Notamacropus eugenii: one gene and its partners. The protein of the gene in region 3 purifies or fractionates together with the protein of the main gene of each other region. This does not show direct contact. Links are inferred from orthologs where the notes say so. Each region holds a gene or a part of one and is shown on either strand. Other genes may lie near its edges. The genes, in order: GPN3, CTDP1 and POLR2B.

Region 1 (10,102 bases), on a different chromosome or scaffold from region 3:
AGAGAACATGCCTTCCTGAGTCAACAACTATAAGGCCAGAGGAAGCTAGGAGCATTCCTCTGTTTATGGCCATTCAGGATGAGGTGCCTTAACCAAAAATACTATCTTGAATAATGGAACTTTTCTTATCTTAACATTTTATGGACATATACTATGTCACGTCATGGTAATGGTAAAGGAAACACAGATATCCTGGGTTATATTTTCAACTGACACTTTGTCACCTCTCTTATCTTACTGTATTTATAACCTATTCAATTCAGAAAATTCCTTTCTCATACTATGGTTAAACATATATGGAGATCATACATCTGAGGGACATAGACATCCTGAGTTGGGATTGCTGTAAAACGTATAAATGTTATCATGTTATCATGATAATGTGTAAAACGTTATCATTCTTTTATCAGTCAGTCAGAATTAAAAACCTGGCTCCATGAATACATGAATTAACTAGTTTTAAGGGAACAGACAATATGAATGTATAGGACCTAGCTCGTTTGTCTCTTTTAACCAAACTTTCAGGTTGACAACACATATCTATATATAGATAGATATGGATATATAGATATAGATACACATATTGTCTCCCTCCCCCAATGATAGAATAGAAGCTCCTTAGGGGCAGGACTTATATGTCATTTTTGTCTTGGTATCCCCAGACTCTATCATTAGTGCCTGGCACACAGAAGGCACTCACTACATGCTTACTGAATAGATGTTGTTGATTCCCTGAAAGATTTACAAACACAACAGGTTTGTGGGGCAGACAGTTTAAGTATCAGTGCCATTAAAGATATAAAAGGAGCTTAAGCGCAGAGAGTTCACACAGACCCAAAGCCGGGGAAGTATCCAAGGCCTTTCCCCCTTCGCCCTTCCCCCTCCATCACAGCTGCTGCTTAAGGCAAAGGCTGCTGTGGTGTCCGAGTCTTTGTGACCCCTTTTGGGAGTTTCTTGCAGAGATACTGGAGTGGTTTGTCATTTCCTTCTCCAGTTCATTTGAGGCAAACAGGGTGAAGTGACTTGTCCAAGGTCACACAGCTAGTATGTGTCTGAGGCTGGGTTTGAACTCAGGAAGATGGGTCATTTTTTAACAATTAGTCATTTAGGTGTAGGATAGACTTTTGATTATTTTGTAAGGATGCTCTGAACAGCAACTCTAGCATTAGGGTGATTCAGAAATGACAAGTTAAAGTAGTTAGGCAATTTTTTATTTTATTAGGGAAGGCACTATTAAGTGGGAGTATTACTAGAAAGTGATTTTTGACCTTAAAGAAAACATAATATGCTTTTCTAAAAATTAACAGTTGAGTTAGGACAGCTGGGAACTTTTATACCGATTTCCTCCTTGAAAAATTAGCTGAGTGCCTAAGACAACGATCTCCTACCATCATTCCCACCCTGTTCTCTCTAAATTCAATCAGTACTTAGTGAGCTCCTTCACCCCACCCTTCTACCCCTCAAGAATGTGAAATAAGGCATTTTTTGGAGATTTAAAAAATGCAGAGAATGGAAAAAAATGTCTGTCACAACTATGGTTAGAGAAAGTATTCATAACCAAACAAGGTAAACAGAAATTACATAAGACAAAATGGATAATTTTGATTGTATAAGGTTTGAAAGCTTTTGCACAAACAATACAACTTAAATAAGAAAAATTTAATGTGAAAAAATGTCTTTGCACCAACCATCTCTGATTTTATACCCAAGATGTATAGGGGAGGCATGTAAATATATAAGACCTTGTATGTGAATTTTATATATGTAATTATACATATGTACTGTTATAAGTCATAAAAACACATATATAATAATTCTTTAATATATAAATTGTCAATGGATATGAATGGTTATTAGAAGAAGAAATGAAAACTGTTAACAACTATATGAAAAAATGCTCCAAATTAAATGTTAAAGAAATTAAAATTCAAACATGGACCAGAGTCTCACTGCTGACTCTCTAGACTCCCTTATCTATGGTGCTAGAACATCCTTCTCACCTTGGCACGATTTCCCACCAGCTCTACTGCCTTCTGGTTCCCTGGAGGATCCCACTCTGCTCCTGTGGCCCTGTCCTCAGTTGGGTGGTTTTAACTGAAGACAGGTACTCTCTTTCTGCTTCTATATTCCCAGCACTTAGCCCAGTGCCTAGCATACAGGACACACTTAGGAGATGTTTGTGCACGTACTGGCCAATTTCACTTCCTATTCATCATAATAGATACAGGTAGAAAATACTGGAGGAAGTATGAGATGACAGGTCCAGGTGGAGCTGTACATTGACCTAGCTGTTCTGGAAAACAACTTGGAATTAGGCAAAAAGAAAACAAAAAGTCACCAAGCTGTTCAGAATGTTTGACCTAGCAATCTTCTATTTGTTATGTATCTCAAAGAAAATCAGAGAAAGGAAAGTCCCAAAAGAAATATTGCTGTGCTAATATTCACAGCAGTATTTTCAGAGTCTCAATACAGATCTAAAGAAAGTAAAACCCATTGGTAAATGGCTGAACAAATTGTGGCACGAGAATGTAACAGACTATTACTGCCCCATATATAATGACAAATATGGGGATTGAGAGAGATATGACTTCCTTATTAGAACTGTATAAGTTGATACAGAGTGAAGAAAGCAGAACCAGGAGAACAGTATGCCTAATGACTACAAAAAAGGAAATGAACAAACGCCAAGACATCAAAATTCGTATTAAATGCAACAACCAATCGTGGTTCCAGAAGATGAATGATGAAACTAACACATTTCTCTCTTCTGAGCAAAGAAGATGTTGTGTAAAGGGTAAAAAACAGTCACTTTGTGAGTTGGGTTTGTGGAATTGCTCTTATTTTAAGGGAGAAGGTATCAATAAAATTTTAAAAAGAAAAAAATACCTATAGACCTTGGAATGTGGAATTTTCTGATGTTACAAATGTTTGCATTTACTTCTAAGTTATATTAAAAATGTATTCCTTTACATTCATAGGTTCAGGCAACTATGGAGAATGTTCCACGGAGGGTCCGAATGGAGGAGGGACCACCAGATTCTACTGTTTGTGGATAACACTGTCCTAATTATATCAAAGCCTAGAACTGTAAAATAAAATGAAAAGACAAAGAAAAACAAAACAACCTCCCCACAAAGATCCATAATAACTCAGAAGAGGTCAACATAATAATCTATAGAGGAAAAAACAAACAGATGAAAAATGGCTATCGTCCAAACTGTGACATGCAGTTAGATGGCGTAGAGATGGATTGTGAGTTGGGCCCGGAGGTTCAAGCTTCTACTATAGTGCATTAAAAGGGGAATTGTTCTTTTATTATTATTATTTGTATCCCAGTGCTTGACATATTAAATCCTTGTTGAATCACTAGATTGAATTACATTTTGAAAATTCCAGTTTCTTAAGGATCCCAAGCTGTTCTCTCACACACACATATACATGCTCTCTCTCTCTCTCTCTCTCTCTCTCTCTCTCTCTCTCTCTCTCTCTCTCTCTCTCACACACACACACACACACACACACACACACACACACACACATACCCCTTTCTTTTTAGAAACACAAATGTTCTCTCTGAACCAAAGAGTGGTGAATCTTGGAACACAACAACCTCTAATGAATCATAGTGGTTGATGACTCCAAGGACAATGGAGAAGACAAAGAGTAGGCTAAGTCAGTTACATTAGGATATATGCGTAAGAAGTGACATAAAGAATATACTCTAGGAAAAATATAATCAGAAAAGGAAATGGGCTAGCTATGTCCTGAGAGTGAGGCATGGACAACTCCGAATTGCCAGCAAAGAAAAGTATATTTTTAAAAAGGCCTAGAGGAAGACCTCCTGTCCAGTGGATGGATCCTCAGTCAGTCAATAAGCATCCATTAAGCAAATCTATGGAAGAGTATAGGATGTAGAACAATCGGTTGATGGGATGTTATCTTTAACAACAGAAATAATACTAATGTCACTGAGGTATCAGCTCTAATTAAGCACTGACATATTATACAGTTTCACTACAGCTGTACCTAGGGACCTGAAGGGCAACCTACTCTAACCTTCTCCGTGACTATGTGAGCCTATGAATATAAAGGAATAAATTTCAATGTGATTTTAAACAAATGCAAATACATTTAACACCCGAAAATTCCACATTCCATCACCCAAAGGTGTTTTTTATTTTTTATTTGTAGGTATTTTTCTTCTTCTTAAAGTTCTATATTTGTCTTTTGTTTTTAATCTCAGTGACTTCTTTGTAAGGATGAGGACCCACCCCCCCTCCCCAGAAGTCTTGTCTGTCCCTACACTGAGCTACCTGGAGAGCTTAAAGGCATAAACCTTCGGTTTGCCAGGGGAAAGATCCCAGGGGATGGAATCAGGAGTCAACTAAAAGTAGCCCTTTCCCTCATTCAACAAACTTATTAAATGAATGAATAAAATATAATTAAAAGCTATTTCAAAAAGAATTTATTTTTTATTATCTCATCTCTCACACAAGGATTTTCCTCATTTTCAAGAAGGCAAAAGAAATACACAATCTGATGTCACACAGCCCACCCCAGGGACCAGAACCCAGGCGTCTCGCCTCCCAGGCTATTGTCTTGAGCGCCTGAGGTTTTCTATGCCGCTCTTATAGAAGCTGACCATCCCTGCCTATTTTTCTGTGGAAAATGTAGCCTGGTGACCCAGCGCCCCCTCGGGGTAGAAGCCTCCACCGTGGCACCCACCCAGGTGAGTCACTGCACCAAACGCCTGTGCGGCTGCTGGGAACCTTTCCCCAGCCCCAGGCCCCCGCCCCCGTCTGACTGTGAGTCAGTCCTTTCCCCATCCTCCCCAGCAGCAAGGGATGCTCGTCCACCCTCTGCAAGAATCCTCTCCTCCCTCTTCGCCCGTGGCTTATCCATGCGTGGCCAACGGCCCTCTACACCACGCCCCGCCCGGGGCCGAGGAGAGGGACACGGACTGGCCCCCGTCCCATCTCTCGGTGCAAGCCTGCGGGGCCCCGAGCCTTACCCGCTGCTCCCGGCTGCAGCGGACAGCTCGGACCCTCCGCCATCCTCCTTCACCCAGAGAGGCGTCTGCATCTGGCCCGGCATCTTCTCCGAGGGGGCCTCAAAGGCGACGTCCAGTGCAGGGAGGGAGGGAGGGAAACTTCCCCCTCTCCTCCTCCGGGTTTCAGGGTGCGTGCGTCAGGCCGGGGAGGTGTTGGGCGGACAGGGCGCTGAGCCTCCACCCCGACCACCTGCTTGTCTGGATCCTTCCCTCCCTCCCACTCTTCCTGGGGCTCCCGCTGGCTGGGCTCTGGAGGGGCAGGGGGGACGCTGGTCAGGCGCGGAACGCTGGCGAGGGGCACGTTGGCATCTTTCGGGGCTGAGGACGCCCCGTAAACGGGAGGAGCGCGCGCATCCTAAGCAGGAGATGACGCCCGGTGCATACTGAGCACGGACGTGTGGGCACGCCTCTTTACGGGATCCCTTAGCTGGAAATATGATAATTATTACTACTATTATAATTGTATTTTAAAACATTTAAAAACCTCCCAGCTGAGCTCTCTGTTCAGAACATCACCCCAAATAGCAATGCCCAGGATCTGCCGGAAGCCTGGCTAGGCGGTGGTTCCGCCGCAGCCCCAGGCAGGGATGCGCTCCCGCCCCTTCTGCAGGTGGATGGATGGATGGGTTGGTACAGAGTCAAGCTTTGTGCCTGGATCCATCCTCGTCCATTCTGCGCCTGCGTGCCTGGCGAGCCGCTAGGCAAACCCAAATTGACCTCAGCGTCGTTTCTTACTCTTTAGGAAGCATGGCCCTCTTGAAGACCCATAGCAGGAGGCGGGGTTGTGTATGCTAGAATGGGGAGGGGAGAGAGGGCCGGCCCTCGGTTTCGATTGGCCCTCCCGCCCTCCGGAAGTCGAGTCGCGGACTGTGCGCCCTCAGAAGTTGCCGGGACGCTCTTGGCGTGTTTCTTCTTCTTAGGCTCCGTCGGTAGCCGCTGGGGCCCACGAGGGTCAGTATGCCTCGGTACGCGCAGCTGGTGATGGGCCCCGCCGGCAGCGGAAAGGTCAGTGTTGGCAGGAGGCTGTTGGAAACGGGGTGGAAACTCTAAGATCCCCTGGAATGCTGGGAGCCTTAAGATGGGGACACAAGCCACACAGAAGCTACAGCCGCCCCCAGACTCGAGGGGAGGAGGGGATGCCTGGGAATCTAGCCACCTAGCTGCCCCTCAGTGTAGCTAATCCTTTGATGGAGGTAGAGGCATCAAACCATAATACCCAACCTGTTGTTTTGACCAGGACTGGTTCAGAAACTGCCCTCTTAGTGTTCTAGGGAACGCAAATATAAACATTAGAGAACCCGAGATAATATTAAACTCAGTGAGCTCTTATTAGACCCCTGCTGTATGCTAGGCACTTAGTAGGGGCAGGGTGGCACAGCCGACCTCGAGGGTGGGAGGACGTGGATTCGAGTCCTTGCTTTCTGGCCCAGGCTGGTTGTGGAATCCTGGGCCAGTCGCCTCTCTACCGAGGTGGAGGGCACGACCGCCCTGGGAGTTCCAGCCCCACGCTATCCCTAACCAATTCAATAATCGATCCATCGATCGACTTTTATTAAGTTCCAAGTATATGACAGGCACTGTGCTAAGCACCAGAATGCTAGAGACCCTGGAGATATCAAAGAAGGCTGGTTCGCTAACATCAATACGAGATAGATACTCTCCTAGCTGTGTGACCATGGGCAGATCACTTCCCTTCTGTTGTAAAATTGGGGTCCAAATAGCTACCTAGACCATATGGTTGTTGTGAGGCTTAAGTGAGATGAAACCATAGATGGAATCTTAAAACACCCAGGGAAGGTCAGTTACTGCCCTGTACTAGGGGGGCCTTCCCGTTGGATGAAACCTACCTGGGGTTTGTTTTTGGTGGGGACAGACAGCCCTGGAGACGCTGAAGGCACTAACCAGTTTCTACTACCTAAAGATTTTTCATGCTAAGGTCAGAGCAACAGAAATTTAGGGCTGGAAGTGACCTTAGTCCAACCCTTTCGTTTTTCGGAAAATGTTGAGACCAGGACAATTATAAGTGACTTGTCCACACCAAGAGGCAGAATTTGAACCTAGGGTCTTCTGACTTCAATTCCAGTTCTCTCTTTTGCTGCACTGCTCTCTTGTTGGAAGGACCTCAGTTCCAAACCTGGCTTTGCTACTTACAGGCTCCCAACCTAGGAGTCATTCTGGATTCCCATTCTCTCATCCCCCATATCCCCCATATCCAAGCTATTACCATAGTTTGCTGGTTTTACCATTGCAGCATCTCTTGTCCATTTCACCTTGGTAGCATCTCTAGTTGATTTCACCTTTGCAACAGCTCTGGTCAGTTTCAGCTTTATAGCATCTCTTGTCCATTTCACCTTTGCAATATTTCTGATTGACTTCACCTTTGCAGCATCTTTCAAATATACCTCCTTTTCTCTTCTGACCCTGCCATCCCCCTAATGCAGGCTCTCATCACCTCATATCTGGACTATGGCAATAGCTGCTTTGGGGGTCTGCCTGCTTCCAATCTATCCTCCACTTAGCTGTCAAAGTGATCTTCCTAAAGTACAGGTCTTGTATGTCACCACTTGCCCTGGTACAGGCTTTCATCACCTCACACATGGACTGTTGCAGTAGCTACTGGTGGGTCTGCCTACCTAAGGCCTCTCTTCATTCCAATTCATCCTCCATTTTGCCACCACTAAAGTGATTTTCCTAAAATTCAGATCTGATCATGTCATCTTCCTATTCAATAAATTCTTGAGAGTTCCTTTTGCCTCCAGGATCACAGTATCCTCTGCTTGGCCTTCAAAACCTACTCCCTAATTATATTATGAACAGCTGGTCCAGCCTATGAATGAATCCAAAAAAGTCTGGACCTTTATGCTCACACTTTTGCCAGAGAGCCCTGTCAGACCAGACAGCATCCTGTCCAAGTTTTGTGCTATCATCTTGTGTAATTCATTGGGGAAAAAGAAAAAGAAAGAGAAAGTTGCAGATAATCTAAAATATTTTCTGCTAAACGAAACACCTGTGGCATCAAAGTTTATCTCATTAAAGAACAGAAAGTTGATTTGTTGCAGCTTTCCAGACATACAATTCACAGATGTTTCTAGGTGAAGAGGTATTGTGTTCAGAATATCAGAATCTGAGTTAAGCAAATGGCCTTCACCAACATGAATGAATGTGCAACCCAAGATCAAATAATAGGATGAGCCAGGTGACCAATAGTAGCGCTGAACTTAGAGCTTTCTACTAGAATATGGCAGAGCCTTTCCCCTGTCCAACAAAATAAAACACAGTAAAATTTTAAAAATTCATTGCAGATAAAGGGAATGAACTAGAGGTGGAAGCCCTTCTTCCACTCTCAGCATCTTAGGAGAATTCACCTATAGAAACACTTGTGGAAATAGATGTAGACGAATAGTGTGGGAATTAATCAGAATGGGAAAGTTAAAATTACCCGTGTTACTGACCTCAGTGTAGATGGGTGTTCATCTTTCGTTGCCAAAGAAGACCATGCCATCAGAGAAATAATGACATAACTTGCACTTGACTTTGTTTCGAGTGAGGGAGGGCTGTGCAGGTCACCAGTCTCACTTTCTCCTCCCAAGTTATCTGGATCCAGTGACCAGATATTCATCAGGATGAGGCAGTTGGGGTTAAATGACTTGCCCAAGGTCACACAGCTAGTGAGTGTCAAGCGTCTGAAGTGAGATTTGAACTCAGGTCCTCCTGACTCCTGCACTGGTGCTCTATCCACTGCACCACCTAGCTGCCCCTCAGTGTAGCTAATCCTTTGATGGAGGTAGAGGCATCAAAGCATAATACCCAACCTGTTGTTTTGAGTAATTTTAGTTTTACTGCTGATTTACCATTCTCCAGATAGTAATGTTGAAATGGAACAGGTAAACTGCTATATTTATGCTCATCATTTAATATTTAGTGATTGACAATTCTATGTACTCTACAGCTTTCTGTGCATCTATTATCTGCCGAGATACCTTGTTTATTTGTAACAATTACTTTGAAGGAACTTCATGCATTTCCATTCTTCAGTTGTAAAAAGTTAAAGAAATTTTATATCTGAAGAAATCATCCATCATTAAGAACTAGCTTAAGACCACATTCTCAATGGGGAGCTTCCTGAGAAGTAGACCTAAAGTCAGCATCATAGGGCATTTGAGTTGATCAGAATTTGCTAGACTGTTTGTTAAGTGACACCTGGACAAAGGGAGTTTAAGAGCCGGTCCTGGAGTGGAAACAGTGTTAACACTGAAGGTTCATTTGTGAGCCTGACAACTGCTTTAGAAGATGTCCATAAATGAGAGCTATTCTCTTCCACTAAACGTTGCTAAAATATTGAATTAGCTACTCCATTGCAACTTAGGTGGAATCTTTTCATCCTAACTTGGATCCATTGAAGAGGATATCACAACTAATACTTCTGAGCAAGCTGAGGCTTTGACATCAGATTTAATAATAGTTCTCAATTAAGATAGTCAAAACCTATTGACAGAAGTGCCTAAAATCAGGAAATCCTATATCCTGAAGTTACAGTCTTCCTTCACAGACTAGAGAAGCTCTGTTCTTTCACTGTTTTTCTTCCTACAGACAGTGACTGGAGTCTTACTCTTTGGTGTGCTTCTGGGGCTTTTCACTGAGTTTGTGGAAGTATAAACCTTGTTTTTTTTCTTATTTTTGTTAGCAAAGAACATCATAGTTCCTAAACAACAGTAGAAAAGATGAACCTGACTTGTCCTCATTCCTTTGACATGTAAATGTGAAGTATGTGTATACAGGCATATGTGCATATATGAATATATATATGTAAAATCTACATAGAGATAAAACATGTTGAAATAGAATTTTCAAAAGCTTTTTAAAAAATTTTGGCCAAAGTAATTCATGATCTCTGGGTGATTTCATTGCTGAGCCCCCTCATATCTTACTAGTTTCTTACACCTTACTTTCCAACATGGCCTCTTGGTTGCAGTGACACTGGCCTCCTGACTTTTCCTCAGATAAGACACTCCATTCTCTCCTTCAGTTCCAGCCAAAATCTCATCTTTCTGC
Region 2 (10,431 bases), on a different chromosome or scaffold from region 3:
AGAGATATTGAAGACAAGGATAGGATGGGAGGAAATAAATGACTGCTAATAAGAATTTATTAAATATTAGTGAGCCAAGGCACTCTGCAAGGTTCTGGGGATACTCATGTAATCCAATGGCCTTTCCTCAGAACTCAACCTTCTTGACCTCTCTGTATATGTGACACTACTAAGCAACCTCTCATCCTAGACACTCTCTTTTCCCTGGGTTATGATTTTTTTTCCTTTATTCTCCTTCCACCTCTCTGCTCTTTCTCAGTGCTCTTTGCTGAAACATAATCCATCCTCAATTCCCTGCTGCTGGAAAACTCTCTAAAGCTCTGTCCTGGGATTTAACTTCTCCATTCTTGTTTGATCTTCTCTTGCCTTCTCTCGTCTCCTTTTCTTTCTTTCCAACCTATCTCTCAGATCCCACACAGGAACTCAGGGCAAGGAAGATCCACTACTACCACCCTTGCCTTTCCCCTGTTGGCTCCTCCCCCAAACCCTGTGTCCATCCCAAAATCCATCCAGGCAGAGGGAAGACCTGTCACCACTGGGTGACCCATTCTCCCTTGAGAGTGAAGTGAACAGCTCTATTCCTTTAGATGATATGGGACATCACTGGGTCTTACCATCTACTCTTCCTCTATGTTTTTGAGTCCTTTAGCACTGTCATCTGATCTACTTATATAATCTATTTATATAATCTAAAGACCCCTGGACTTTGTTGCTCCCTTAGTACAAGCTCCTTGAAAGCTGATACCATCTCAATTTTTCTAATTGTATCCCTAGTGCTTAATGAAATGCTTAGCCAATAGTAAAAATCAAATCCCTGCCTTCAAAGTACTCATACTGCAATGGGGGAGGCAACATGCAAATGTGCAAATATATAAATAAGATATATACAGGATAAATTGGAGCTAATCTCAGAAGAAAAACACTATGATTAAGGAGACCTAGGAAAGGTTTCTTCTGGAAAGTGGTATTTTAGCCAAGACTTGAAGGAAGCCAGGAGGCAGAAAAAAGTAGGGAGAATATTACAAAGGGGGACAACCAGTGAAAATACATAGAGATGGGAGATGGTATCCCATGTGCTAGAAACAGCAAGGAGGACGGTGTCATTGGATTGCAAAGTCCGTGTGTAGAGGGGGAGAAATAAGGTATAAGAAGACTGAAAAGATAGGAAGGGGCCAGGAAATTAAGGACTTTCAAAGCCAAACAGAGTATCTAGAGGCAATAGGGGGAGAAATATTTAAAGTAAAAAGAACTTAGTAATTTCTTCCTTCCTTCCCTTCTTCCTCCCTTCCCTCTTTCCTTCCTTCCCATCTTCCTTCCTTCCTTCCTTCCTTCCTTTCTTTTTTCCTTGGAGTAAATGATCAGATCTCTACAGACGATTTTCCAGATCTATATAACCAGTCCTGGTCTTTCTCTTGAGCAACAATCCTGCATGACCAGTTATCTAATAGATATTTTCAAATGGATACCATCAACATCTTAACCTCAATATGTCCAAAACAGAACTCATCCCCTCCCCCTCTCCCAACCCTCCCTTTCCTATTTTTATTAAGGGTATCACCATCTATCCACATCATTTTAATATTCTGAACTGGGTGGGCCTGAGGTGTTCCAGTTGGTGGGTGAGTGGGTGAAAACTCATGACTTTACTATATCTAGCTGAGCCCAGACCATACTTCACATTCAGTGGTGTTCTGGTAATTTTTTTTTAACAACAAGCTGTCCAAAGCAAGTTAATACATTTTAAGGCCAGTCTACATTTTCTCCATCACTCTCTCCCCTCTAGACAATCAACAAAACAATATATCAAGTGCTGGTTTTTAAGGTTTACTGGTATCTAACAGGGTAAATGCTAACACTGAAAATTTAACAATTAGTTCTTCCAGCACATCCCATCCAGCCATCCACCAATATTTCTGGGTCTACCCAGCATGTTAATTTGTATTTACTTACATAAGTGGATGTTTTCCTCCAGTAGAAAGTGAGTTACTTGAGGGACTATTTCATTTTTCTCTCTATTTCTCCAGAACCCAGGACAGAGCCTGGCATATAGTAGGTGTTTAAAAAATGTCTTAATTGAATGTTCTGATTCACCCACTAGTTTATAGTGAATACATTACCTTCCTTGGCCCCTGTTTCTTCATGCCAGAAGAACCCAAATCTTACCTCTGTCCTTTGCTAACCATATCACCTCGGACAAGTCACAAATTTCCTGATGCTCAGTTTCCTCATTTATAAAATGGTGGACATTTGCCTGCATTTTAACCTTATTGCTTAGCCTTTTCTATTTTTGTCTTCCTGTTCAAGGATACACTTATAAGTAATTTAAGATTTGATGAAACTTGGCAGGCTCCAAGAAGGCATTAAGATATCATCAAGATTCAATTTATGGCTTATTTTCTATAAATTTGAGCAGATTTTAATTTGGGGTAGAGTCTAGGTTATAAAGATAATTAAGTGCCCTTTTCGAGTCTGACACTTCACAAAGCTACCAGTAATACTGGCTTTCCCTACTTTATTGAGGATGTGAAAACAATGGGCCTGATTTCCCCACCAGTTCCTAAATAATGGTTCACAGTCATAAAGGTTGAATCAACAAGCTTTTATGGTAGTGAGGACAGCAAGAATGTTTCTTCACTACGCACAGACACTTGGAGCAAGGTGTTGATTCCCAAGAACAAAGTACCAAAGGCCTCTTGGCTTTTAGGGCCTTATAGCTGACAATCACTAACTTTCCGGAAGATTTTTGGAGAAGAGGCTGTTTCATTGTTTCCCAAACCAAGGTATGCTGCTCTCTTGTAGAATGCTAAAATATCAATATTCTTTACTTGTGACTTAGTGTGGATGGTTCTCACTGACTGGAAGTGGGGAGGAAAAGGGGTTCTTAGCCTCTTTTTGTGTCATAGACCCTTTAGCAATCTTCTGAAACCTTTGGACTCTTCAGAATATTTTAAAATAAAATATATGGCATTATAAAGGAAGCCAATTACATTGAAATTTAGTTATTAATATACCTATACATGTGTGTTTATATACATACAAAAGCATATATGTAACCTACATAATGCACACATGTGTGTATCCATGTATATGTGTGTGTATGTATATGTGTGTGTGTAGACATACACATATGAAGTTCATTAACTGCAGTTTAAGAACTGCAGGGGGAGGATAAAACCAGAGCTGGTGGAAACAGTAAGTAAAAGAAATAGGTTTTTAAAGTTTATCAATTTCACGGAGCAAAAACCTTTGGTTGTAAAAATTTTGTTTACCAGGTAAAAATATTTCATGAGTCTGTCTGGTCCACAGTTGAGAAACAGTGTCTAATTCTGAGGTATCCTTAATACTTGCTTGAAGACACCCCATGCTCTCCATCTCCGTTCCACCTCACACCCCTTAACTTTTTGTTTCGGATTTGTCTCCCACGCCTTGACTTCAAGCTCCTTAGGGGCCAGGACCAGCAGTTGTTTCGGCTGGGTCAGGTGCGGCAGGGGGGACATTTTTAGAGCAAGAGGTGGGACTGGAACATCAAGGCCAGAAGAACCCTAGAAGGTTCCACAGCCCCAGGCAGCCCAGGGGTGGCTGTTGTGGCTGGCAGTTGGCAGTCTAGGGTGTCTCCTGCATTCTGCGATGAGAAGAGCCCCTTGCAAGAGGGCCCTCTGGAGGTACTGAAAACTCACTTTTGTTTGGGTGTCCCAAGAATGGGGAGTCGCTAAACTGGCATGCCTAAATGCCAGGCGGTAGGGGCTTTCTTTTCTAGCTTCTCCGCTAAAGGGAGAGGTGTGAGGGCAGGGGCAGCAAAGGGAGAACATTTTAAAACTGTGCCTTACATCTGTGGTGTCAGAATCCAATAAAACGGGTCCCCGCGGGGCCGCATGTTGATTGACAAAACCACAAACTGACCTTACTTATGCTGTATTTTGATTCGTTTGGTTAAACATTGACTTGTTACGTTTTAAGCTGGTTCGCGCCAACACTCGAGAGCTTTGCTGGGCACACGTGGCCGGCGAGTTTGACACCTCTGCCTTTCGTGATGCAGAGAGCAGACGCGTAGGGAAGGGCAGGGAAGGAGCCTTTGGCTGGCGACAATGTTTCAGGGGCCATGTGCCAGCAACACTGTAACAGGGGAAAGCTTGTTCTGCAGCACTTTTCTTTAAAGCAATACCCCCTCCCTCTAGATGTCCTGGCTTCTTCCCTCCCCCAGGCCAAGGGATAAAGGAATTCTCACTAAGGTGCTACCTCTTACACCTAGCTGTTAGCCATTTGAACTAGACTGAGTGCAGAAAGTGCTTTCTAACTCGTGTTCTCATTTTAACTCAAAGAGAGAAATCACTAACAGTGATCTAACCGACACTACAGCGACTTAGTAAAGGATCTGGAGGGCCTGAGAATGCCTAAAACAGAAGGTTTGCCAAAAAACTCCACCCAGGCATTTTGCTCCGACCGGACGCGGCCAGGATGGACTTTAAGTTTTCAGGCTGATTGAGCATACAGAAGGCAGACTGTTTCCTTTGCGTTTTCGCCCTTAGCCCCCAGCACAGCGCCCTGGTTCCTAGCAGTTTTAATTCATTTCCCCCAACTGAAATTGGACATTTGGTTGTCTTTAGGCCCTCCCCCGTGCTTCTGAACTCAGTAGGAGGCTGCTTCCCATTATTTTGTGATAAGGGTGGATCCACGAACAGAAGGAGTCGCCAATGGTCTAAAACAGAAGGGGTAAGAGTGTAAATAATTCCTGAAACTATGGTACAACCTTTTTGGCCGAGGAAGGAGAGGTTTAAGTGTCTAGGCAATAGCCCCATTAGAATCAGGGTTGAGTGAAGTTCCCTAGCAAGGTCCTAAGTTGGGGACAAGTAAAATGGCACATACAACATGATATTCCTCCCAACGCAAACCTGAAGTTTTAAAGTCCATTTCTGGTTTAACTCCCAGGCAGCTTTCGATAAGAGATCAAGAATAACAAGGGACCGTATATGCTTTTACAATGTCTTTCCGTGGGAGGGCTTTCCACAAATTTTCCAGTGTATTTGAATACGCAAGCGCAAAGGACTCTCCTTGCTCCGCTTTTGTAGGGAGGTCCCGTTCCCCCACGAGACTACAAGGCCCAGCATGCAACTGCGAGAAGGAGACTCAACAAGGATCTGTAGTCCGCCAGCCCGGCTTCCACAGACACCACTGGGGGACAGTTGCATGCTGGGATTCGTAGTCCTCATGCGCTCAGACATGAAGCGGATAACCACGAGGGTTTTGGTACAACCGCTTCCGCTGTTTTGTGCCCGGTGAGGGTTATTTCTCGGACGTTTCCGGTACCAGTTGCTCACGCGGACTCCCTCTCCCCAGGGTCTCGGGACTCCGTGGCCCTCCCTCCCGTGTGCGTGTGAGCGTACGTGTGTTTACACGCAGGCCGCCCGCCCACAGACAAACACGCGGTCTGAGGGAAGCACGTGAGAAGCCGCCCCTTTGACCACGCCCTCTCCCCTCCATGAGATCATTACGTTCTCCAGGAAGTCGTCATAGACCGGGGGAACTGGCGGCGAGGTGACTAGCCGAGCAGAGGGCGGGAAGAGCTGAAATAACCACCTCCGCCCCTGCCCCACATCCGGGACGCTGGGATTTCCGCGTTACTGTGGCTTTAAATGGAAGCCGGGCCCTGAATACGCAAACGCGTACGACTTTGCCTTTCCTCTCCGTGTTCCATCCTCCCTCCCCCCCAACCCCCTCCTAAAGGAACAGTTACTACTTTTTTCCTCACACCTTTCTAACCTCTCCTTCCACTCCGCCTCCCTCCCCTTGAAGTCGCTGTTTTCCTCTCCCCCTTTGGGGGAGGGCTAGCCTTCCTCCGTTCGCTTCCCGGTCTCGAGCCGGCGGCAAGCGCGTTGCCATAGCGACCCGCCCCGCGCGCCGTGCTGCCCCCGGCCCCCGGGCACTAGAGGCGGCGGCGCTGGAGCAGGGGAGAGGGCCCGGCGGACGCACGGCCCGGAGGGGGATGGAGGCGCGGGCGGACCCCAGCGGCGGCGTCGGAGACTCTGCAGCTGCCCCCACCGCCAAGGGGCCAGCCCCGGCCCGCTCTGCCGAGGGCCCCGCGGCGCTGGCGGCGGCCGTGACGGAGATCCGCTGCCCGGGCCCCAGGCCGCTGAGGCTGCTGGAGTGGAAGGTGGCGGCCGGCACAGCGGTGCAGATCGGCACGGTGCTGGCTGTGTGTCTCCCCATCGTGCCTCCCGCCGGCGGCGAGGCGGGCGGGCTGCCGGCTTGCAGTGCGCGCCGGAGAGCCGGGGAAGGAGAGGGGAAAGGGGGCGGCGGCGGCGAGGGCAGCCCCCACCCGTGCGGGAACCAGCGCGGGGAGCCCTCGCCTTGCCCGGAGGCCGGCGGCTGCGGCCGGACCCAGCGGGCGGCGGAGCGCAGGGTGAAGTCGGAGCGGGCCGGAGTGGTGCTGGAGCTGTGTGCGCAGCGGGGACAGGTGGTCCCCCCGGGGTAAGCGGCCGCGGGGGTTACTCCGCTCCCTCGGTTTCCCCCTCCCCCGACCTTTTCACCCCTCCCTCCCCCCCATAGGGGCCGGCTCAGGGACTCTCCCCTCCCCACCCGTAAGCCTCAGGCATCGCTGGGCACCGGGCCGACCTGCCGAGGAGGAGGAAGAAGACGGAGGGAGCTGGCTTGTGCCCCAGCCCAAGGGTTTTCGTTCTTTTTTCCTGGAGGGCGGAGGCGGAGAAACTATTCAAAACCGAGAACTTCCGTCGCCTCTAAGTAGACTGTCCTGGGACCGTCCTGCTCGCCCCTGTCCTTCTGCTCCTCCTCCTGCCTTCCCCCCCTCCCCCGACCCCAGATACCTGGCGGGGGGAGGGGGCTCGGCGCCTGGAGCATTATAGTATACCCCCTTACCGACCCGAGAGCGTGCGAGGAGGAGGAGGCAGGTGCGAGTTCCCAGCGCTCTCCTGCATCTCAGCTTCTCTCTTCCTCGCTCTTTCCCCGCCCCACCCGCTGCCCTACAGGGGGGCTTAAAGGGGAAAATAATGTGATTAAAATAAGGCTTCTCCTCTCAGGAATAGCTACAGGGTTCTTTTTGGCGGTGAGGTCTCTGAGGCACACCTCTGACAGAGATGCCTTAAGTTATCAATTGACATTTCTTTAGGGAATGAAAAGCTCTTTCACCTTGAAATATGGATTATTTGGTCTACTCCCATCCTACTTTCTGCAACTTTGGACTCCTCTCCTTTAAATCGCTGCTTACTAGCTGGACAAACAAAAGGTTTTTTTTAAACCAAATCTGATTTTATTTTCTTCTTTAACAAGTCTTTTTTTCTTATGTAGCCAGAAAGCTGTGGTTGTTGTTATTTTTGCAGTGCAAAAAATTTGGGGGGAGTTGGAGTCAGTCTCTAAGAAAACCAAACATTTATTCCACTTGCTTTTTTAAAATTTTGTTTGACTTTAAGATTAAAACAGGAAATGATGATGCTGAAGTAAACACGTATATAATGTATACATCTGTTTAAATATATACACATATGTATACATGTCTACATCTGAACTATAGCTGGGTATTGTTTGAATATACTAACTTGTTCAGATTGATCTGGTATTTGGTGTTGTCTGTCTCTTTTTTTTTTCCTGCGCTCTAATCTTGTGAAACTAAGTGATAAAAATATGATATAATTGTGCATCATAGCTAAGAAGAACGTATGAGACTGAGCTCTCTAGAGTACAAAATTACAGCAAGCTTTTGAATCTAGCCAAACTTCTACCCTGTCTCAGTACTTAGTTTGTTTCAAACTCTGTGATCATATACTTGACCAAAATGAGTCATTGGGTCATCATAAGATAATTAAAGGTGAAAAAAATAGTCATTTCACTTAACTGGTAGACTCCACTGCAGAAATGTCTACTTTTTTTTCTAACATATTGTAGATTACTTTCATCAATTTCTTGAACTGTGGTTATTTTTTGCTGTTCAGTGGCTCTAAGGAAAATTGGCCTGTAATTAATTTCATTCCCCGGGTTTAAAGTATATTATGTTATTTATTTTGTGGTGGGAGGAGTGGTCAGTTTTTTATATAGTACACTTATTTGCAATTGGTCAAAATATCATTAATTAACCTTTTTACAAGATCTTAGAGGAAGCATGGTGTGGTGGGTAGAAAGCTATCTTGAGTGTCAATCAGAACTGTGTTCAAATTCCAGCTCTGACATTTGCTGGCTGTGTGGTCATTTTGTTCTCCTCCTTCCGCCCTAGCCAATTAACCTCAATATGCTAGACAGCCCTCTAATTCTACAAATTACAGATCTGTAGCTGATTTGTTTTGGTAGAGAGATTTCTTTCACTTTCAGTTCCCTACACTAAAGAAATTACAACCCAAGATAACTTAGGTTTAGCTTAAAGGTTGCTTACATAGTGTTTGTTGTTATTGTTCCTTATATGTGTGTAATAATAGGGCATCATAGATCTAGACCTGGAAGGGAGCTCAAAGTCTAGTCCCTTCTTTTTACAGATGAGGAAACTTTTGACCCAAGAAAGTTAAGTGACTTGCCCAAGATCATACAACTAAGGACATGTAAGAGAAGAGGTTTCAACATCAGATAACAGTGCTTTTTACATTACACCACGCTGTCTGTGTTGACACTTCTTTTTTCTGCCATTTAACAGGAATGTCAGTTTTTTTGGTATATTTTTATTCTTTCAATTCAAGATATGAATATTAGATAAGACATTTCCAACCTTTGTGGAGTTCAGAATAATGGAGGATAGAATATGCACAAATAAATATAATATACAGTGAGTATTTGCTATTACAAGAATGGCAAATCAATGTGAAGATCCAAAGTTTTTACATTTTAGTTGGGCTAAATAGGCAAAGAGGTGAAAGGGAGGTCTTTTTCAGGCATAGGAATACTAAAAGCAAAGGTACAGGATACCTTTTGAGTATAGAGAATAGTCTGGTTTGACCTAATCATAGAGTATTTGGAGGGAAGTAATATGAAATAAGACTGGGAAGATTGGTTCCACTTGTGGAATCAAGATAAGTCAGAAAACATTTATTAAGCTCCTACTGTGTGCCAGGACCTGAGCTCACAGACTAATTGGAGGAACAACCTGCAAACAGCTCTTTACAAACAAGATATAAACACGATTAATTGGAGATAATCCCAGAGGGAAGTCATAAACATTAAGGAGGACAGGGAAAGCCTTATTGCAGATCATGGGATTTTAGGTGAGATGGGAAGAAACGATGGAATCCTGGAGAAGAGAGCATTCCAGGCCCAGGATGCCCAGGAATGTGTGAAAACTAATGAGGAATAGAGATGGAATCTTATATGTGATCCATAGCAAGGAGGCTAGAGCCGCAGTAACTAGATTATGGAGAAAACTGGGAGAGTAAGGTATAACGAAACTAGAAAGGTTTATGAAGTTCACAGTATTTTCTATTTATGACTCTGAAGGCAACAGGGAACCAGTGGAGTTTATTGAATAGGGTAGTGACATGGTCAGACTTTTGCTTTATGAAGATGTCTTTGGCAGCTCAGTGGTGGATGACCTGGAGGTGTTTGGATGCTAGAGGAGTTTGAAATTTGCTCAGTAGGTAATAGGGAGAGGGATTGCCTGGAGAAATGCATACGACATACTGACATGACCAGATAACCACATAAGGAAGATTAGTCTGTCAGCTGCTTGAATGACATTTTGGAAAACAGAGAGTGGTAAGACCTATTTAGAGGCTGTTGCAATAGTCCTGGCAATAGTTATTAGGGTGGTGGAGGAAGATAGATATGAGAGAGCTTGTAGAGGTATAATTAACTAGACTTGATGGTGAGTTGGGTATGTGAAGTAGAGAGGAAAGAATCAGAGAGTTTTGAAAAGTTGTTTATTAGAACGTTGATGACCTATGACTGGTAGTAGTATTAAGAGAAGTAGGCAAGTCAGAAGGAAAAGCAAGTTTAGGAGAAATGATAAGAATAGTTTTGGTTGTTTTGAGTTGAGGTGACTATCCTGGGGGAGATATACCATAGGCTGAATATTCAGGTCCAGTGCTTAGAAGAGGGGCAAGATTGGAGATAATAGATGTGGGAATCCTCTGCATTGGAGGAATCCCTTAAAACCCTTAGTGAGTGAATGAGATTGTCTAGGGAGAATGAGAAGATTATTGTGGACAGTAGTAGCAAGCAACACCCTTCCCCAGCCTCTCTACCAGTGCAGTGCTTTGCTTCATAGACACATGGCAGATAAGACTGGATGAGAAGCCAGTGAAGGAAACTGTAGTTATTGAGTTGGGAGGACAACTTAGGAAAGTGTACATTCTCCAAAGCCAAGAAAGTCCTGTTTAGCACTGGGATATGGCAAAACAATGTCAAATCTTTGTGGAAAATAAAAAAGAACCATACGAAAGGCTGTTAAATTGGCAGTTAGGTGGTCATTGGTATTTTGAGAGCAGTTTCAATATAGTGGTAGGA
Region 3 (10,618 bases):
ATATAATGGAATACTAGTCTTCCCTAAGAAATGGTGAGCAGGCGGATTTCAGAAAAACCCAGAAAGACTTGCATGAACTGATGCTGAGTAAAACGAGCAGAAATAAGGGAACACTGTACACAATAACAGTCATATTGTATTAAGAATAACTTTGATAGACTTATGTCTTCTTATCAATGCGAGAATTCAAGACACCTCCAAAGGGCTCATGATGTTAAGTGCTATCTACATCCAAATAACTATGGAGTCTGAATGCGTATCGAATCATATTATTTTCTTCTTCTTTCTTGTAGTTTTCCCTTTTGTTCTGATTCTTGTTTCACAAAATGACTAATGTGGAAATATGTTTAGTATGATTATACATGTATAGCCTATATCAAATTGCATACCATCTTGGGGATGGGGGAAGGAAGAAAAGAGGAAATTTAGGATTCAAAATCTTATAAAAGTAAATGCTGAACACTAAAAATAAATCTAAATTTTCTGATGGTTCTAACTTTTAAGAGATCTATTATATTTGGAACATAAGAGAATAATTCCCATGCTTTTAGCATCTTTCATCAGTACAGAGCTACCTCTTTCTCTTACAAGTTAGTTAGGTTGAAAGTTTTGAAGTACTAGATTGACAAGACTTCTGATTTAAGTCTAGGTATTAAAAAAAATTTTTTTTTAATAGTCTTTCCTTTGATATAACTACGAGGATGGTGGTTCTCAGAACACAGTTTGTAAACCACTGGTGAGTCCAAAATGTAAATCACGTAAAATCTGATCCTATTTTATAGTGCAGGTTTGAAATGACCTCACAAAATGGTGAACAAAGCACTTTGTAATCCTTAAAATGCTCAACATAAGCTATTCTAGTAGCAATTACACTACCTAGTAGAGTGCTCTAAACAGAGTAGTCCTTTAATAACTGAAAGAATGCATCATCATTAACCCCCCCTCCCCCACAAATTTAACATTTTAAAAGCTAGCTCGCATGATGGTCATTTCCCAGGAAATGTTTCCTAGACTGATAGGGGAGGGGAGGTGGGAAGTAGGGAAGGGAGAGTTGAAGGGCAGTGTCAAAGTGAAAGTAGGGAGAGATAATCCACTGAGTTTCTGAAGCTGAGACTCTCTTACCTCTAAAAGCCCCTTTCAGCTTTAGAATTCCATGACTTAAAGTCAAACATCTTGACAGACTTGATAAACAAAAATAAATTCATTCTGCCATTACCAACTAACTTCATGGCGCAAGTTATGGATTCACAGATAAAAGGATGATTTACATCACTATCTGGTACATAATGAAAATCTATACAGCTAGGTGGCTTGGTAGATAGAACACTGGGCTTCGGAGTCAGGAAGAGTTCAAATCTGTCCTCAGACATTTACTAGCCAAGTGACTCTCAGCAAGTCTCTTAACCTTTAACTTAGTTTCTTCAACTGTAAAATGGGGATAATAACAGTACCTACCTTACCACCTTGTTGTGAGGATCAAATGAAAGAATATTTTTTAAGGGGTTTACCAGTGTTTGACACATAGTAGTTGCTATAGTCTTTCTACCAATTCTCTCTACACACCCCCTCCCATATCGATATACAATGATTACTTTTTTATTTTATGCTGACATCCAACACCATCAAATATTTGATATTATTTAGCGCTATTTCTGCCTAGTTTTCCTTCCAAAAAGGGAAAACATAATATATAATATGTATATATAATATATATCCTCCCCTTGACTCACACCATCCCCCTAAATGTATAAGTGAGATGTTCACTGGGAATTCCAGGTTCAGAGTTACTTGCCTGTGGGGAGAAAACCACATTTGCATATTCTATAATACCTGGTGGAACTAAGTCCAAAGGTAAGGGTTTTTTGCCCAACATTTTCCCTCAAATTCATTTTTGCTAGCTTAGACAGAAGTCTCACTGTTTTTGACCCCTTCTAAATGAAACAAAATACATACGCAATTTTCTTTTACAATTCCAGGGGTATCATAAAACCAGTGAACATCTTTCACTTCTTGAGGTGTCAATTCAACATGCATAGTGGGTGCATCGTGTATTATTCTCGGAGGCTCATTCTCCATGTCAAATGCGAGTGAATCAGCATCAAACTCGAAAGTAGGTTCATCATTTTTTGAATAACAGAATGTTTTTCCAACTCTTCCTACAACAAGAGAGTAGTTTGAAGTTATTGATCTTTAAAATGTTTGAATTTTTACCTTTTATACATGTGCATTCCATTCAGTTTCTACAAAGGGACAAGGGGCAGCTAGGTGGTGCAGCCGATTGAGCACCAGTGCAGGTGTCAGGACGACCTGAGTTCAAATCTCACCTCAGACACTTGACACTCACTAGCTGTGACTTTGGGCAAGTCACTTAACCCTAATTGCCTCATCCTGGGTCATCTCCAGTCATCCTGATGAATGTCTGGTCACTGGATTCATATGGCTCTGGAGGAAAAGTGAGGCTGGTGACCTGCACAGCCCTCCTTCATTCAAAACAAAGTCAAGTGCAAGTCATGTCATTATTTCTCTGATGGCACGGTCTTCTTCGGCAACAAAGGACGAACACACAGACACAGGGACTAAGTCACAGAAATAATGACAGGTAGGTGGATACTTTAGGGCAAGCCATTTAATCTCTTCCCTGGATCTATTTTTCTTCATCTGTAAAATGAGGAGGTCAGACTAAATCCCTTTTTAGCTCTAGATAGAAAATAGTACTATGCAGGAGTTTGGCAGCATATGGCATCAGTACTACAGGATGATAAATGAATTTAGCATAGAATCACAGATTTAGAGCTGGAAGGGACATCCAGAGTCAGTAGGTGGCAGAGGAAAGCGTTAAAGGAATTGAGAAGTCAGCATAAACATTAATATTTTATGTGCAGTTGCATATATAAGAATTCAAACTGAGACTGAGTAGCAATGAAGGATCAGAAACACAACAGCTCTCAGCATAACTTGGCAGCATCACCGATAGCAGGAAAAGGAATCTGAGTCAGTATTTGGGCACAACCTGGAAATGACAATTTTTACTTCTTGGCAAGGCAACTGATTCAACTGACAACCCTACTATGCCACGCCCACTCCCCTCAAGAAACCAGAAACAAATTCTCCTGTTTTTCTGAATGTCTTGCCCAGGTGCGCTTTTAAACAGTAGTTTTAACTACAGCACTGGGTCTCAGAATAGGTAGAGGTTGTCCGGATCATCCTGGGTTCTGATTTCATGTTCCAGGGCACAGGATCTGAAAGGTGGTTAGTCCACGGTCTGTTCGGGTACTCACCGACTAAATAACCCTGCTTTTTCATCTGACTAAGATGCTTCTGCTCTTGCTCAGTAAGGTCATCTTCACTTTTAGCTGCTTCTTCTTTAAGTCTCCTGTTCCTTTCAAACATTCTGTAAGGAGTAGGGTTGCTAATAGGAAATTTCAGGAGATTTAAGGTTGTTCCTGAAAGATCAAAGCACGTGTAAATTTTAACTGTGATGAAGAAAATAAAATGCAATGTATTTTCGTGCAGTCTTAATAAAAACAGAAACAAAAAGCTGCCTGTCTTCCCTTTTCCCAGTGCTTGGTGACTCCAAGCATTCGTCATACTGGCTAGGGAAGACAGGGAGGGTACATTAAGACCCTGAAAACATGGGCTCTGTCTTGCCTCGTGGGGATGCATGAAACCAGTCAAGAAACCTTAAAGAGGAGTAAGGACCCCAGGACCCAAAAGGGGTTGAGCGGAGAAAAGCTGGAGTTCACCAGGATGGTCCCGGACACCTCCTCGTGGGCAGACGAGGAAGCACCTGGACAGCAAGGGCGGGATGGGGGTGGGGAGGAAGCTTCAATTCGCTTCAACCAACGTTCAATAAGCTTAGGCTGCGTGTCAGGCACCGTGCTAGGAGCTAGGGGTAACAAAGAGGCAAGAGACGGCGTCCGCGCTCCGGGAGCTCAGTCTGACGGGGAAGACAACGTGCACACACACAAAGCAAGGACATGGAGGCCGAGCGGGGGGGCAGAGCGTGCGGGAGGCTTCCCGCCGGGGCTCACCCGGCCAGGGGGAGATGGTGGCCCGGTCGATGGCGTCGGCGCCCTTGGCGATGCAGTAGTCCGAGTGCAGGAGCGCGTTGAAGAGCGTGGACTTGCCGGCGTTGGTGGAGCCCACCAGGTAGACGTCGCCCCGGTAGCGCCAGGAGCGCTGCAGCGCCGAGATCATCTCCTCCACCCCGTAGCCCGTCTTGGCGCTGAGAAGCAGCACGTCCTGGACCACACAGCCCGGCCTGGCCGGCCCGGCCCCCGGAGCCCCGGCCCCCGTCCTCTTCGCCTTCCTGGGCGCCGGCTGCAGGCCGGCTCGGGCGCATTCGTCCCACAGACGCTCCCGGAGCCTCCGCAGGTAGCCCGGGCCGTCGGCGGGCAGCAGGTCCACCTTGTTGCCCAGCACGATCAGCTGCTTGGGCCCGAGCAGTGCGGGCAGGTCCGGCAGCAGGGGGTCGGGCAGGTCGAGCACGTCCACCACGTAGAGCACGAGGGCCGGCCCCGGGCGCCGCAGCGCGGCGTGCACCAGCTCTCGGTAGCGCTCCCGGCTCACGCGCACCCGCAGGGCCCGCTGGTGGTGCACCAGGAGCCAGCAGCGCTGACACACGGCCCGGGCCAGCCCGCCCGCCTCGGCCCGCGCCTCCAGGCTGCGGTACTTCTCGCTGGGCAGGTAGCCCGGCACGGCGGGGTCCTGGCAGTGCAGCTCCGCCCCGCAGCCCGAGCAGCTCACGCCGCTGGCCGGCACCGCGGGGTCGGGGCTCCCGAACACCGGGCGCAGCCCCTTCTCCCGCGTCTTCTTCCGCTGCTGCGCCAGCCGCCGCTCGTCCCGCAGCAGCTGCTCCCGCTCCTCCTCCTCCTGCCTCCGCCGCAGTTCGGCCGACACGGACGGCTCGACGTCGGGGTCCGCCTCGGGGACGTACTCCGGGAACACGAAGGTCTCCTCCAGCCGGCTCGGGTCCACCATCGTCCCCGCGGCCGGCACCCCCCTTCCTCTTCTCGCTTCCTGGTCCTGCTGCCGCCGCACCGCGGAGAAGACAGAGGAGGCGGCCGGCCGGCCCGCGGGGGGCCGCGACCCGGGCGCGCCATGGCACGTGAAGAGAGGCGCGGCCCCTCGGCGCCACAGGCGCAGCAGCCGGCACGAGCAGCTCCCGGGAAGCATGGGGACGGAGGCGCCGGGAGGGGCGGGGCGGGCACGTGGCCGCGACACCGCCCCGTACGGTGGCTCGGGAGGGACTGATCGCCCCCCTCCGTCCTCCGCTGGGGAAAAGGCGCTCTCACGTATTAACCTTTCTTCAGTTTGAAAATCATGGCTGGCCATGAACGTAGGGGTAAAATTTAATAAAATTAAAAGCAAAAATTAGAATAAAAAATTCATAAAAGCGCATGTAAAATGGATCAATGTAGGTTCCAGGTTAAGTTAAATTCGTGGTTTTTCGCTTCTATCCTCAGGTCCCCAAAGCGCTTACAATATCGCCACCTAAGCATTAGCATTTCAATCTCTCATTCCTTCCTGCTGAAGCAACAGGCCTAAAGTCACTTTCCTCCCGGCTTTAGGCCTCCTGCCCCCAGACACCTCGGCAGACCTAGATACATTCTTTCCATCTAAAGCACGCTAGGTTGCTGGAGGCGCGAATCCAGCCCGCGCGCAAGCCAGCCCCTACGTAGCCCCGCCTCCTCCGCAGGCCGCATGCGCAGTGGGAAGGCGAAACGGCCCGCCCACTCTGCTCAGCGCCACCACAGGACGCGGCGCGCTCGACCTCTGGCTGAGCGGAAGTCGGAGCGGGAACCGGAAGGTTTCGGAGCTGAGGAGCTGGATCGAGCCGCAAAGAGTGCCGGGAACGCCGGAAACTCAAGCTCTCTCGAGTTTGCTGGTCTGTGGCTGCGTCGTCTGCTCTTTTCTGTTCCTTAATTTGGGAGGAATATTGAGAATTATTTGTCAAGATGTACGACGCGGACGAGGGTAAGAGGCCCAGTTAAGAGCTCCTCCCGGACAGGGCCGAGGAGGGGTGTTTTGTATTCTTTTAGTTACCCACCTTCTCCAGGATGCCACTTGTAACGTTGAGGCCCGGGCAGCCCTGAGGTCCATGATACTTAGTGAATAGAGCTGGCGGTCCTGGTGCTTGTGGGTCTGTTACGCGAGAGGCCAGCCTCGTGTCTCCTAACGTGACGCACCCTCCCGTTTTGCCTTTAGTGGTCACTTTGATTTTATTAATGCATCTTTGTTTTACTTTGCATTCGTCCCTGAATGATGGTCCTTAGGTGTCGTTACCCTAGAGCCCAGCCTAAGGTTTCCTAACCTGTCTGCTCCTCCCTCGCGTTTTTAGTTGTCATCTTAATTTTATTAATGAATTCCTTTTTTTTTTTTAACTTTACATTCGTCCCTGGGTATCGTCCCATCCCTTCGTTACCCAGCGAGACATTCCTTGTAACAGGTTTTAAAAAGCGATTCAGCAGATCGAACGCTTTGTTTGACTGTATAGACAGAATTCTCCACCCCTAGTTCCCCACTAATTGAAGGAAATAGGTGAATTTTTTCACCTCTTTTTAGGGTCTTCTCACGTTTCTATATTAAGTTGCCTTTTCTGTAAAATGAAGGGGTAGGATAAGATGGATTCTAACGTTCCTTCCAGATAGAAGTCTACAGAACTAGGAACATCATGCGTTTTAAAAAAAAATTTTCCCCCAATTACATGTAAAATTTTTAACATTAGTTTTTAAGATTTGGAGTTTCAAATTCTCTCCCTCCCACTCCTCTCCCCTCCCCAAGACAGCAAGCAGTTTGATATAGGTTATATAGGTTTAACCTCTATGTGTTATATGTGGTTATGTTTGAAATGTATGTATGTGTTATGTACAGTAATGCAAAACATTTTCATAACATTTATGTAATGAAAGAAAATACAGACCTCCCCTCCCCACAAAAAAATAAAGTAAAAAATAATGTATTTCAGTCTGCTTTCAGACTCAGTTCTTTCTCTGGAGGTGGATAGGATTTTTCATCCAAAGTCCTTCAGAATTGTCTTGGATTTTTAAATTGATGGGAATAGCTAAGCCATTCACGATTTATCATCATTCAGTATTGCTGTTACTGTGTACAGAGTTCTGGTTTTGCTCACTTCATCCGCTTTCCATCAGTTCTCATAAGTCCAAGTTTTTCTGAAAGCATTCTGCACATCGTTTATTGCAGTACAATATTCCATCACATTCATATACCACAGCTTGTTCAACCATTCCTCAGTTGTGGGGTAACCCCTCGATTTCCAATTCTTTGCCACCATAAAAAGAGCTGCTGTAAGTGTTTTTGTACATATATGTCCTTTTCCATTATTAAAAATAACATCTTTGGTATGCAAACCTAGTAGATCTATTACTGGGTCAAAAGATATGCACAGTTTTATGACCCTTTGGGCATAGTTCCAAATTGCTTTCCAGAATGTTTGAAAAAGTTCACGATGCCACCAGCAGTGCAGCGGTGTCCCAGTTTTCTGACCTCCCTACCAGCATTTTGTCATTTTCCTTTTCTGTCATATTAACTAATCTGATAGATGTGAACCAGTATCTCAAGAGTTTTAATTTGCCTTTCTCTAGTTAACAGTGATTTAGAGCACTTCTTTTGTGTGACTATCGATAGCTTTGATTTCTTCATCTGAAAACTGCCTGTTCATATCCTTCGACCATTTATCAAATGGGGAATGACTTATGTTCTTGTAGATTTGATTCAGTTCTCTATATATTTGAGAAATGAGACCATTATCAGAGAAAATTGCTCAAATATTTTTAGGAACATCATTCTTGAACAACATTCACTTGAGGTTTTTTTGTCCTTTTTGTATTTTCACAGTGCTGTACTTTGTTTTCCTGGTTCTGCTTGATGCACACAACGCCATTTTACATGTCTTCCCATCCTCTGAATTTGTATTTTGTCTTTTATAAAAGGTTCAGTCATTTTGTTCTCTTCATGTGTGTAATTTTTTAGCCATTCCTCGGTTGATAGGTATTAATTTCTTTTCCAGTTCTTTCTCATCTGATCTCATCATTTAGCTTTGTTACCATTGTGCTTACCTACCCTCATTCTCCCTTCTTGGTATTTTGCAAATGCATGAAAGAAGAAAAAAGGAATTGTTATATCTTAAGAATTGGGGATATAGATAGAAATAATGAGGCAGACCCTGTTCTCAAGGAATTTAAACTTTATTTGGGGTAGATAACACATCTGCAAATTCAGCTTTGGGGTGATTGGAAGGGCCAAGAAGTCCCAAAGGTGCATCAGCAGATGGATGATGGCAAAGCCTGGGGTGCTTAGGCTGCTCCAGCAGGTCAGATTAGAGTCACCAAGGAGTTCGGAAGATGTAGCAGCAGGATAGATAGCAAGGCCATCTTACCACAAAACTTTGATTAATGAAAAAGCATTTAGTGTTTAATGTGTGCTAATACTGTGGCAAGATCTGTGAATATAAATTCAAAAATCTGAGAAAGACCCTGTAGTTACTGGTCTTATATTCTAATAGGGGATGATAACACATATAGGGGACTGATGTCCATGGAAGGGAGTCACAGGAATTGTGAATTGATTGATTAGGGAGTCATTTTACATACCCTTCCCAGAAGCCCTAGTATTATTGATTTGAAATTTAAAGCTAGTTTTTGGTTTTTTTTTTTACTAGTCTTTCTCCCTATCCTAATCACCATTCCTCCTCACACCTCTGGGATAACGTTGTCATTAACATGAAATCTTTATATTTTCACTCTGCAAGACATCTTTCGTGATACTTTTGAGCATGTTAGGCGAACATGTCTCCTTATGTTATACTTTCTTGATTAAAATTAAGGTAAACTGAGCCACAAAGCACCAAGCACACTCAACTTATTAGCAAAGCGTGAATTTTCCAGTAAACAAAGGCTCAACCTTTTCAGTTAGCTAAGACCTTGAACGAGGGCTGATAAAATTTTTATGGACAAAAGGAGGAGCCTCCAAAAACTAGAAGACTGGCAACATCATAGTGAAAACAATGTTAAATGCTGTAAATTTGGAATGCAAAAACCCTTCCTTTCATAGCGTTGCTAAGGAAAGTTCATTGGTGGTGTCCACTTGTATGGCTAATTGGTTTCACAGTGATAACAAACCAGACTTTTTTGAAGGACAGCCAGTGCTATAGAGGTAATAGACCAGACTCCCTGGCATCCACCTTCATCCTTCAAAGATAATTATTATCCTTGACATAAGAATAGAACAGTGATTTGATTAGCAGGAAAGCTGAACTTCTAACCTTAACTCAGAGATAGTGAGTGATTTATAGGAAAGCTGAACTTCCAAACTTAACTCAGACTCAAATGAAATGTGGCTTAGGTAGTTACACAAAATGTTGGTAGTGATACAGAATGAAATCAATTACAAAAGTGAATCAGTTTGATTTTCTTGATTTTCAGTACTTCATTTGATTTTGCCATTTAGTGGCTTATTGAGTAATGTTATCCTTAGTTACATTGATCGTATATTCATGTGTGATTTAATATACACATGGGAGACACCTTTCTGAGGAGGGCCTTTGTGCTACCTTTGGTATAACTTAGGCAAAATTTTCTTTTAAATCAGTAACACAATAGAGCCTTAAAGTTTTCTACACTTTTTCATTAGTTGTATGACCTTAAAGATGTAATGGAAAAGGTAATCTGAATTGTGTAACATTAAAGGTGTACTGTAGAAAATAATGTTTTGCATGAGAACTTTTCATTCAGGAAAGTATATACTATTTTCACACAATGATTGATGTTATCTTTAAAACTTTTCTTCAGGTTGTGTAATCATTGTAATGTTTTTCATTCTTTTTGAATGTTTTTTTCCAAGAGATAAAGAATCAGCACAGATTTCTTTTGTATATGAAATTAAGTCTAGCACGTTTTCCTGACTTAACCTTTTTTTAAAGTATCATTACCACTTATTCAAATACTACATTGAGTATTAATGTGGTGGGTTTAAATATCATATTCCACTGTTGTCGAAGTTAAAAAATGGCTGCATTTCTGCTTCATTTTGTGTTTTGGAAATCATAATATCATAGAGCTGGAAGGGCCTCTTCAAGGTCATCTGGTCCAAGTCCTTTATTTTTACAAATGAGGAAACTGAGACTCAGAAAAGTTAAGTGACTTGCCAAAAAACACATAGGTCCTAACTACACTTTTGCAATTGCTTCCAAATTAGTTTCTCTTTTCCCAGTTTCTCCCATCATCCCTCTATATAACTAACTTAACAAAATCGTCTTTATAAATCTAATCATTTCAGTCCTCTGCTCAAAAAGTTTTTGTGGTTCCCTGTTGTCTCTAAGACAAAATACAAACTTTAGTCTGCTGTGTAAAACATTTACTATCTGGATCTTACCTTCTTTTTCAGTACTATTTCATTCTTCAACAAGATGCTGTATTCTATCAAAACAGATCTGCTTGCTGCTCCTTAACCTCAGCACTCTATCTTTGGTGTCTGTGTATTTCCACAGGCAACATGTATACCAAGTTGATTTGAGACCGTGGGCTGTTTGGCTTTGTAGCCACAGTGCCTTCTACACAAAGATCAGAGAGGGACATTGCTTTAGGACCGTTTAGTATTG

The links.
Region 1: the proteins of POLR2B (region 3) and GPN3 purify together in Homo sapiens (co-immunoprecipitation; 3 studies listed by BioGRID and IntAct, counting the BioPlex papers as one, with this or other methods). This does not show direct contact. The link is inferred for Notamacropus eugenii from reciprocal best matches to the Homo sapiens genes POLR2B and GPN3.
Region 2: the proteins of POLR2B (region 3) and CTDP1 purify together in Homo sapiens (affinity purification with mass spectrometry; 3 studies listed by BioGRID and IntAct, with this or other methods). This does not show direct contact. The link is inferred for Notamacropus eugenii from reciprocal best matches to the Homo sapiens genes POLR2B and CTDP1.

Annotation. Positions count from the first base shown.
Region 1 is NC_092875.1:35,915,500-35,925,601, forward strand, and holds the start of GPN3 (GPN-loop GTPase 3), read left to right. Parts: upstream 1-5,818; 5' UTR 5,819-6,007; coding exon 6,008-6,055; intron 6,056-10,102. Other genes in the region: protein FAM216A, read right to left, coding at 5,012-5,094. UniProt on the Homo sapiens protein: Small GTPase required for proper localization of RNA polymerase II (RNAPII). May act at an RNAP assembly step prior to nuclear import.
Region 2 is NC_092875.1:201,293,469-201,303,899, reverse strand, and holds the start of CTDP1 (RNA polymerase II subunit A C-terminal domain phosphatase), read left to right. Parts: upstream 1-5,849; 5' UTR 5,850-5,980; coding exon 5,981-6,465; intron 6,466-10,431. UniProt on the Homo sapiens protein: Processively dephosphorylates 'Ser-2' and 'Ser-5' of the heptad repeats YSPTSPS in the C-terminal domain of the largest RNA polymerase II subunit. This promotes the activity of RNA polymerase II.
Region 3 is NC_092877.1:108,358,337-108,368,954, forward strand, and holds the start of POLR2B (DNA-directed RNA polymerase II subunit RPB2), read left to right. Parts: upstream 1-5,712; 5' UTR 5,713-5,957; coding exon 5,958-5,976; intron 5,977-10,618. Other genes in the region: NOA1 (nitric oxide-associated protein 1), read right to left, coding at 1,954-2,156, 3,279-3,443, 4,032-5,334. UniProt on the Homo sapiens protein: Catalytic core component of RNA polymerase II (Pol II), a DNA-dependent RNA polymerase which synthesizes mRNA precursors and many functional non-coding RNAs using the four ribonucleoside triphosphates as substrates.